Saccharomyces cerevisiae S288C: one gene and its partner. Changing the gene in region 1 together with any one later gene gives a genetic interaction. Each region holds a gene or a part of one and is shown in the gene's direction. Other genes may lie near its edges.

Evidence for each region.
Region 2: of INO1 (region 1) and GIT1, a mutation in one rescues a mutant of the other (synthetic rescue), as found in Saccharomyces cerevisiae (one study listed by BioGRID).

Annotation. Positions count from the first base shown.
Region 1 is NC_001142.9:133,832-137,850, reverse strand, and holds INO1 (inositol-3-phosphate synthase INO1), read left to right. Parts: upstream 1-1,917; coding exon 1,918-3,519; downstream 3,520-4,019. Other genes in the region: SCF ubiquitin ligase complex subunit DAS1, read right to left, coding at 1-472; SNA3 (Sna3p), read left to right, coding at 1,078-1,479; retromer subunit VPS35, read left to right, coding at 3,916-4,019. UniProt on the Saccharomyces cerevisiae protein: Key enzyme in myo-inositol biosynthesis pathway that catalyzes the conversion of glucose 6-phosphate to 1-myo-inositol 1-phosphate in a NAD-dependent manner. Rate-limiting enzyme in the synthesis of all inositol-containing compounds.
Region 2 is NC_001135.5:296,519-300,780, reverse strand, and holds GIT1 (Git1p), read left to right. Parts: upstream 1-2,175; coding exon 2,176-3,732; downstream 3,733-4,262. UniProt on the Saccharomyces cerevisiae protein: Glycerophosphodiester transporter that mediates uptake of both glycerophosphoinositol (GroPIns) and glycerophosphocholine (GroPCho) as sources of the nutrients inositol and phosphate.

The DNA of each region.
Region 1 (4,019 bases):
AATCCCAGTTGATCCTTATCCACTGGATGACTTCAGTAATGTGAATATTATTTTGCAGTGTTTCTATAAGTTTTTTCAATTTGCAGTTGGCGATATCGCGGGACTCCTCTTCTTTCAACGAAGACGGCAAGTTCAGTAGGGTCCAATTAATTGCGAGATGCATGAAGTCACTCTTCACTACATTTGAGTCGTTCAAATATATTCTTCTATAAAGCAGTTTGGTAGCGATCTTATTCAACCTTTTGTTCACAAGGCAAAGCTGCAAGCGGTCTGGTTGCGGCAAATGAGAGAATACTTCTTGCATGAGCTCATCGGGGAGCTTTGTTAGCGGGAACACGTAGTTTTTGCTCTTGGCGGCGAAATTTATGTTAATATCGTTAATATCTCGTAGCGCTGAAGCATCTGCGTTACTTTTATTGTTTCTGTTAATGAACGCTGCTTTTTTCTTCTGAAAATAATCTTGAAATGGCATGATATGAATATAAGCTGAGTTGTAAACACTGTGTATAGACGTCCTGGATATTTTGCACGGAAATCAGATCTCCATCGAAATCTACAATTCGCTTATAATCTATATATATTCCTCTTTGTGTGGGACGATAAAGTAGGGTAATACTTGCAATGAGAAAGAATACTCTGGTGAACAGGTGCATTTTGAGAGGGAAATAGGAACTAAGAAAAACAAGTAGAGGAAAAGGGGTGTAGTGCAGTGCAGTAAAGCGTTGCATTGATCGTATCTTGATAGATATACCGGTATATTACTGAACGTTTACATTCACCCTACAACATTTATAAATCTTATATATTATACATGCAAACTCGTATTTGTGAAGTGGGCATATAGTTTTTCGCTATGTATATAGCGGATGAGTGCGTTGGGATTACTATTTCTTTAATGCACGTGATGAAGGCTCGTTTTCTTTTTTTTTTTTTTTTTTTCTTTTTGGGAACGGGGGAAAAGGTCTCACTAGTATATAAAGGAAAGAGAGTACAGCACGAATGAGCCAGCTGCAGGAAAGGGGCTAGGTTAAAAAATAAAAACCCAGCAGAAAGCAAACAACCAAATATAATTTAGAAATGGACAGAGACCATATTAATGACCATGACCATCGAATGAGCTATTCCATCAACAAGGACGACTTGTTGTTAATGGTTTTGGCGGTTTTCATTCCCCCAGTGGCCGTCTGGAAGCGTAAGGGTATGTTCAACAGGGATACACTATTGAACTTACTTCTCTTCCTACTGTTATTCTTCCCAGCAATCATTCACGCTTGCTACGTTGTATATGAAACGAGTAGTGAACGTTCGTACGATCTTTCACGCAGACATGCGACTGCGCCCGCCGTAGACCGTGACCTGGAAGCTCACCCTGCAGAGGAATCTCAAGCACAGCCTCCAGCATATGATGAAGACGATGAGGCCGGTGCCGATGTGCCCTTGATGGACAACAAACAACAGCTCTCTTCCGGCCGTACTTAGTGATCGGAACGAGCTCTTTATCACCGTAGTTCTAAATAACACATAGAGTAAATTATTGCCTTTTTCTTCGTTCCTTTTGTTCTTCACGTCCTTTTTATGAAATACGTGCCGGTGTTCCGGGGTTGGATGCGGAATCGAAAGTGTTGAATGTGAAATATGCGGAGGCCAAGTATGCGCTTCGGCGGCTAAATGCGGCATGTGAAAAGTATTGTCTATTTTATCTTCATCCTTCTTTCCCAGAATATTGAACTTATTTAATTCACATGGAGCAGAGAAAGCGCACCTCTGCGTTGGCGGCAATGTTAATTTGAGACGTATATAAATTGGAGCTTTCGTCACCTTTTTTTGGCTTGTTCTGTTGTCGGGTTCCTAATGTTAGTTTTATCCTTGATTTATTCTGTTTCATTCCCTTTTTTTTCCAGTGAAAAAGAAGTAACAATGACAGAAGATAATATTGCTCCAATCACCTCCGTTAAAGTAGTTACCGACAAGTGCACGTACAAGGACAACGAGCTGCTCACCAAGTACAGCTACGAAAATGCTGTAGTTACGAAGACAGCTAGTGGCCGCTTCGATGTAACGCCCACTGTTCAAGACTACGTGTTCAAACTTGACTTGAAAAAGCCGGAAAAACTAGGAATTATGCTCATTGGGTTAGGTGGCAACAATGGCTCCACTTTAGTGGCCTCGGTATTGGCGAATAAGCACAATGTGGAGTTTCAAACTAAGGAAGGCGTTAAGCAACCAAACTACTTCGGCTCCATGACTCAATGTTCTACCTTGAAACTGGGTATCGATGCGGAGGGGAATGACGTTTATGCTCCTTTTAACTCTCTGTTGCCCATGGTTAGCCCAAACGACTTTGTCGTCTCTGGTTGGGACATCAATAACGCAGATCTATACGAAGCTATGCAGAGAAGTCAAGTTCTCGAATATGATCTGCAACAACGCTTGAAGGCGAAGATGTCCTTGGTGAAGCCTCTTCCTTCCATTTACTACCCTGATTTCATTGCAGCTAATCAAGATGAGAGAGCCAATAACTGCATCAATTTGGATGAAAAAGGCAACGTAACCACGAGGGGTAAGTGGACCCATCTGCAACGCATCAGACGCGATATCCAGAATTTCAAAGAAGAAAACGCCCTTGATAAAGTAATCGTTCTTTGGACTGCAAATACTGAGAGGTACGTAGAAGTATCTCCTGGTGTTAATGACACCATGGAAAACCTCTTGCAGTCTATTAAGAATGACCATGAAGAGATTGCTCCTTCCACGATCTTTGCAGCAGCATCTATCTTGGAAGGTGTCCCCTATATTAATGGTTCACCGCAGAATACTTTTGTTCCCGGCTTGGTTCAGCTGGCTGAGCATGAGGGTACATTCATTGCGGGAGACGATCTCAAGTCGGGACAAACCAAGTTGAAGTCTGTTCTGGCCCAGTTCTTAGTGGATGCAGGTATTAAACCGGTCTCCATTGCATCCTATAACCATTTAGGCAATAATGACGGTTATAACTTATCTGCTCCAAAACAATTTAGGTCTAAGGAGATTTCCAAAAGTTCTGTCATAGATGACATCATCGCGTCTAATGATATCTTGTACAATGATAAACTGGGTAAAAAAGTTGACCACTGCATTGTCATCAAATATATGAAGCCCGTCGGGGACTCAAAAGTGGCAATGGACGAGTATTACAGTGAGTTGATGTTAGGTGGCCATAACCGGATTTCCATTCACAATGTTTGCGAAGATTCTTTACTGGCTACGCCCTTGATCATCGATCTTTTAGTCATGACTGAGTTTTGTACAAGAGTGTCCTATAAGAAGGTGGACCCAGTTAAAGAAGATGCTGGCAAATTCGAGAACTTTTATCCAGTTTTAACCTTCTTGAGTTACTGGTTAAAAGCTCCATTAACAAGACCAGGATTTCACCCGGTGAATGGCTTAAACAAGCAAAGAACCGCCTTAGAAAATTTTTTAAGATTGTTGATTGGATTGCCTTCTCAAAACGAACTAAGATTCGAAGAGAGATTGTTGTAATCTCATTTCAACGACTCTCTTTTTCTTTTTCCGCCTACCTATAAAAAAACAAGACATTCACCATTATCCTATTATCCCTTCCATCAATACATATACTTAACATAACGTTTATAAAAATTCAACTATCAACAGTCTTTATATTTTTTTTTTTTCTTTTGAACTATTGCCTCTTTGTCACTTCGTCTTAAAGGGGCGTTTTTTATTTTTTTTTTTTTTTTTCAGTTGAGGTAGATGCGAGAAAGTGCTGTATTTATTCAAGGGCCACCTCAGTAAAGAGAAGAAAAGAGAGAAAAAAAAAAAGAAGGTGGTGTATGTGCGACCACTCAACAAGGCCCAGTGAAGTTAATATATAACGATAAAAGGAGGAGGACGAGAAAGAAGAAGCTGAAAAACACAATGGCGTATGCGGACTCACCAGAAAATGCGATCGCTGTTATCAAGCAGCGAACCGCACTAATGAACCGGTGTCTATCTCAACACAAACTAATGGAATCATTACA
Region 2 (4,262 bases), on another chromosome or scaffold:
TCAATAGAAGATGCCTACATACCTCACGATATGATGAATAAACAGTAAAAATGTTCGACACTGACGACAAAAAATTGACACTATTCGGGACTGATGTCATATAGAAACATAAGGTCTTACTATTTCGTTAATTTATTATTGTGATATGTATTTACAGTGTAATATGAAGTTGTGTTTAAACTATATTTTAATTCCAGGGTTTATTTGTTTGGCTCTATGAGTAACATTTTCTCAACTCAAGACAGAGGATGCTTTTCTATGATGGCTAAATTGCCTGAAACCAGACAACTAGGCATGCCACCAGATTTTGGTGATGAAAAATTGTGAATCAACCTTAAATCCAGAACATAATAGTATACCTTACCAAAGATGGTGGCGGAACGTTTACATAAATGCTTGGTAATGCAGTTCATTCTGGGTTAGCGGGCTCATTTTTCAAAAATCCGTCAAATGGGGATATTTGCTGTATGCTAAGTAAAGGAAAAGTTTTCGCCATCAGACGACTTATATGAAAACGCCAACGAATTATCCAGTTTCACGAGTCAAGGCGGTAATTTTGAAATCGAACAAGAAGATGCTCACACGCCTGAACGAAACACATGTCACAGATAACCAAGACTGTCTCTAGCAACATTCCAGACGCATTGCGAGCTCGAAGTTCCGCTCAAAAGGTTGATTGGCAGCAGCACGCATCGAAGACAAGTGGGTAATCTTTTTTACGCATAATAAATGGCTGTGTCTATTTTTTATTAAGAGAAGTAAGCATAAGGATTTTCTCAATATTGTCCATTATCCGAGGCCTCCATTACCTTTGTATGAATATAATCGCCATGAATATAATCGCCATTGTAGTTCGCCAAGTGCCGCCTTTCTTTTCTTCTATCCTCTTATCTTCCGCTTATTGGCACAGGAAACGTAAAAATTAATAATCACCAGTTCCAGTCATTTTGAGTTATAATCGTTTACCCTCCCGACAAAGATAGTAGCTCGATTCAAGAACATGAATTTTACTAATATTCGTACTTTTTTAGTTTCTGCTACTATTAATCGGTTTTGAATCCTGTCTTCATTTTGTGAGGACAAAATTTAGTAGGTGTGTAAAGTGGTATTTAAGATTCGAGTCTGGGTGCACTAAACAATGATAGACTGATCAGTACATCTTCAATTTACTATATATAGATTTTTATTAGTATTTGTTTGCAACAATTCAACGGTTAGTGTATGTAGACTATTGAATATAACGAAGATAAACAAAAAGAAGGGGAGCGAAAAAGAATTGTCAACAAATGTTTATCGATATCTGCGATAAGGTTCTGCAAACAAATGCCGCTTACGAAAAGAATACAAAAATAAGAGAATACAAGGTTATCAGCCGTCGAAAAGCACATGCTATCGTGTCATCATTTCGTGAACTATACTTCTAATGGTGTCTGCACCACAAATACCATATACACATTAGAGCATGACGATGAGTACTTACTTTTCTTGACTGTACAGCCACAGATGTTGCAGTGCGTTTCAAAAGTTCCAGCCCCACGTTTTGCCAAGATAAATTAAAAAAAGAACGTGCATATGAATATGACAGTATTGAGCATAGTCTTTTTGACAGTATCCCCTAAATGCCAGAGTGTCCGCATGATTAATACTTTTCGCGGCGCACGTGCATGACGGTAAAGAAAGCAGAGAATCAAAAGAAGCAGCACGTAGTAATAGCGGCGTAGAATGTTGTACCCAACAGCAATGATGTTAGAATAATAGGGGTTATATGATTGGATCCTACGGTCTTCCGCGTTGCCGTTTGGTGCCACATTTATCTTCATATTCATGAATTTCCTTACTGGACCCCCACCTTAGCATGGATTGATTATATAGGCATATGGGCATTCCGTCCACTGTATCGTAGGATTATTTTCCAACATTAGTTAACTTAGTTCTCTGGTTAACCTAGTTTTTCAATCTGGCTATCTTAATTCTTTGATGAGGGACATCTGCTGGAAGACATCCAGAATGTGTCTGGATGAAGTAGGAAACTCGTGAATATATAAACCCCGATGAATGTAGTTGTAGCAGATGTTCGTTACAGTATTTATTATCTGTTTCTTGTGACTAGTCAACCAGCCGCAGACGTGAGTTGATCTTTTTGCTTATAATCAAAAAAATAGAATAGGATAAAAAATGGAAGACAAAGATATCACATCGGTAAATGAGAAGGAAGTGAACGAGAACACTAATCCTAGAATAATAAAATATGATGCCGAGAGGCGTGCAACCCGTACTGAAACCTCAAAGAAAGATAAATGGAAAAACATAGTTACAATCATTGCGTCCGGTTTTGCTCTGATAAGTGATGGTTACGTAAATGGTTCAATGAGTATGCTAAACAAGGTTTTTGTTATGGAGTACGGTAAGAAAAACTATAGCTCAAAAGTGTCGACTAGAGTTTCCAACGCAGCCCTAGTTGGTATTATTTTTGGCCAATTCTTTATGGGTATCGCTGCTGATTATTATAGTAGAAAATCTTGTATCCTTGTGGCCACTGCTATCTTGGTTATTGGTAGTGCTCTGTGTGCTGCCTCTCACGGTACTACTGTACCTGGCATGTTTTGGATGTTAACAGTTATGAGAGGTTTGGTAGGTATTGGTGTTGGTGCAGAATATCCTACCAGTACATTAAGTGCTAATGAGTCTGCTAATGAATATACCACTACCAAAAGAGGTGGTATCCTGGTTATGGTGACAAATTTGCCACTAGCCTTCGGTGGTCCATTTGCTACGATCATCTTTTTAATCGTCTACAAAATCTGTTCAGGAACAAAACATTTAGAGGCGATCTGGAGGACTGTTTTTGCAATAGGGTGCTTCTGGCCATTGAGTGTGTTCTATTTTAGATGGAAGACTGCTACTACAGAAGTCTATGAAAAAGGTAGAATCAAGAGAAATATACCATATTTCCTAGCATTGAAATTTTATTGGAAAAGGTTACTTGGTACATGTGGTACATGGTTTATGTATGATTTTGTTACCTTCCCAAATGGTATTTTCAGTTCAACAATTATCAGTTCCGTTATCAAGGACCAAAATGATTTAGTAAAAGTGGCAGAGTGGAACTTACTGTTGGGAGTTTTAGCTGTACTGGGTGTACCAATTGGTGCTTATCTGTCCGATCGTATTGGTCGTAAATATACGTTGATGTTTGGTTTCTCTGGGTACATCATCTTTGGTCTAATCATTGGATGTGCGTACGACCAATTGAAAAAAATCACCCCCTTGTTTATTATCTTCTACGCATTCATGAATATGTTAGGTAATGCTGGACCAGGTGATATGCTTGGTGTTATTAGTAGTGAAGCGTCAGCAACCGCTGTTAGAGGTGTTTTCTATGGTTTATCTGCTGTGACTGGTAAAATCGGTTCTGTAGTAGGCGTCGAATGTTTCCAACCCATTAGGGATAATTTGGGTGCAAGATGGACTTTTATTATTGCTGCAATTTGTGGTCTTATTGGTATCATTATTACATATTTCTTTGTTCCACATTCTCTTGAAAGCGATTTAATGAAGCAAGACGTTGAATTTCACAACTATTTGGTATCCAATGGCTGGACTGGTAAGATGGGATTTGATGAGACAGATGAAGAATCAATGGTTAGAACTATTGAAGTTGAAGAGAATGGTACTAATTGTAGTAAGAAAAACGCAGAAATAATTTCAGTCAGACAGGTCGATCAAAGTTGAAATTGGTATCGATTTCTTCCTCCATCCTTTAACCTCAAAATTTCTTTTTCTAAAGCGTTAATTTTAATTTATTATGATGCAGCTTACTCCCAAGAGTGCATGTAATGTTTGAAATATATTCATTGTTCTTGAAACTGAATATTATTATAAAACGATAAAATTGGGAATGGAAATATATGGTATAGCGTAATATTTTTTTTTTAGTTATTCTAAGTAACTTTTACATTTCAAAAGATTTACTAAAAGTTTTGTTTGAGCATTTGTTTGTTTTGTTATAATCCTTAGCTATTTTCGGTGTCTTAATGAGAAGGAAATTTTACGACTACAGAAATGATGCAGTGGCGATATCATATGCAAAAGAAATGTAGGAAGTACTCAGCTCTATTAAAATGGGGTGTGTTAGTGTAAATGATACAGATCTTGAATTGTATATTGTTTTGATTACGTTAAAACTCGTTACCATAGCTAACCTAGAAATAAGTGCTTTGGAACACCATGTTGAAAACCTTTTATTAGTCCAAAAAGTTTCA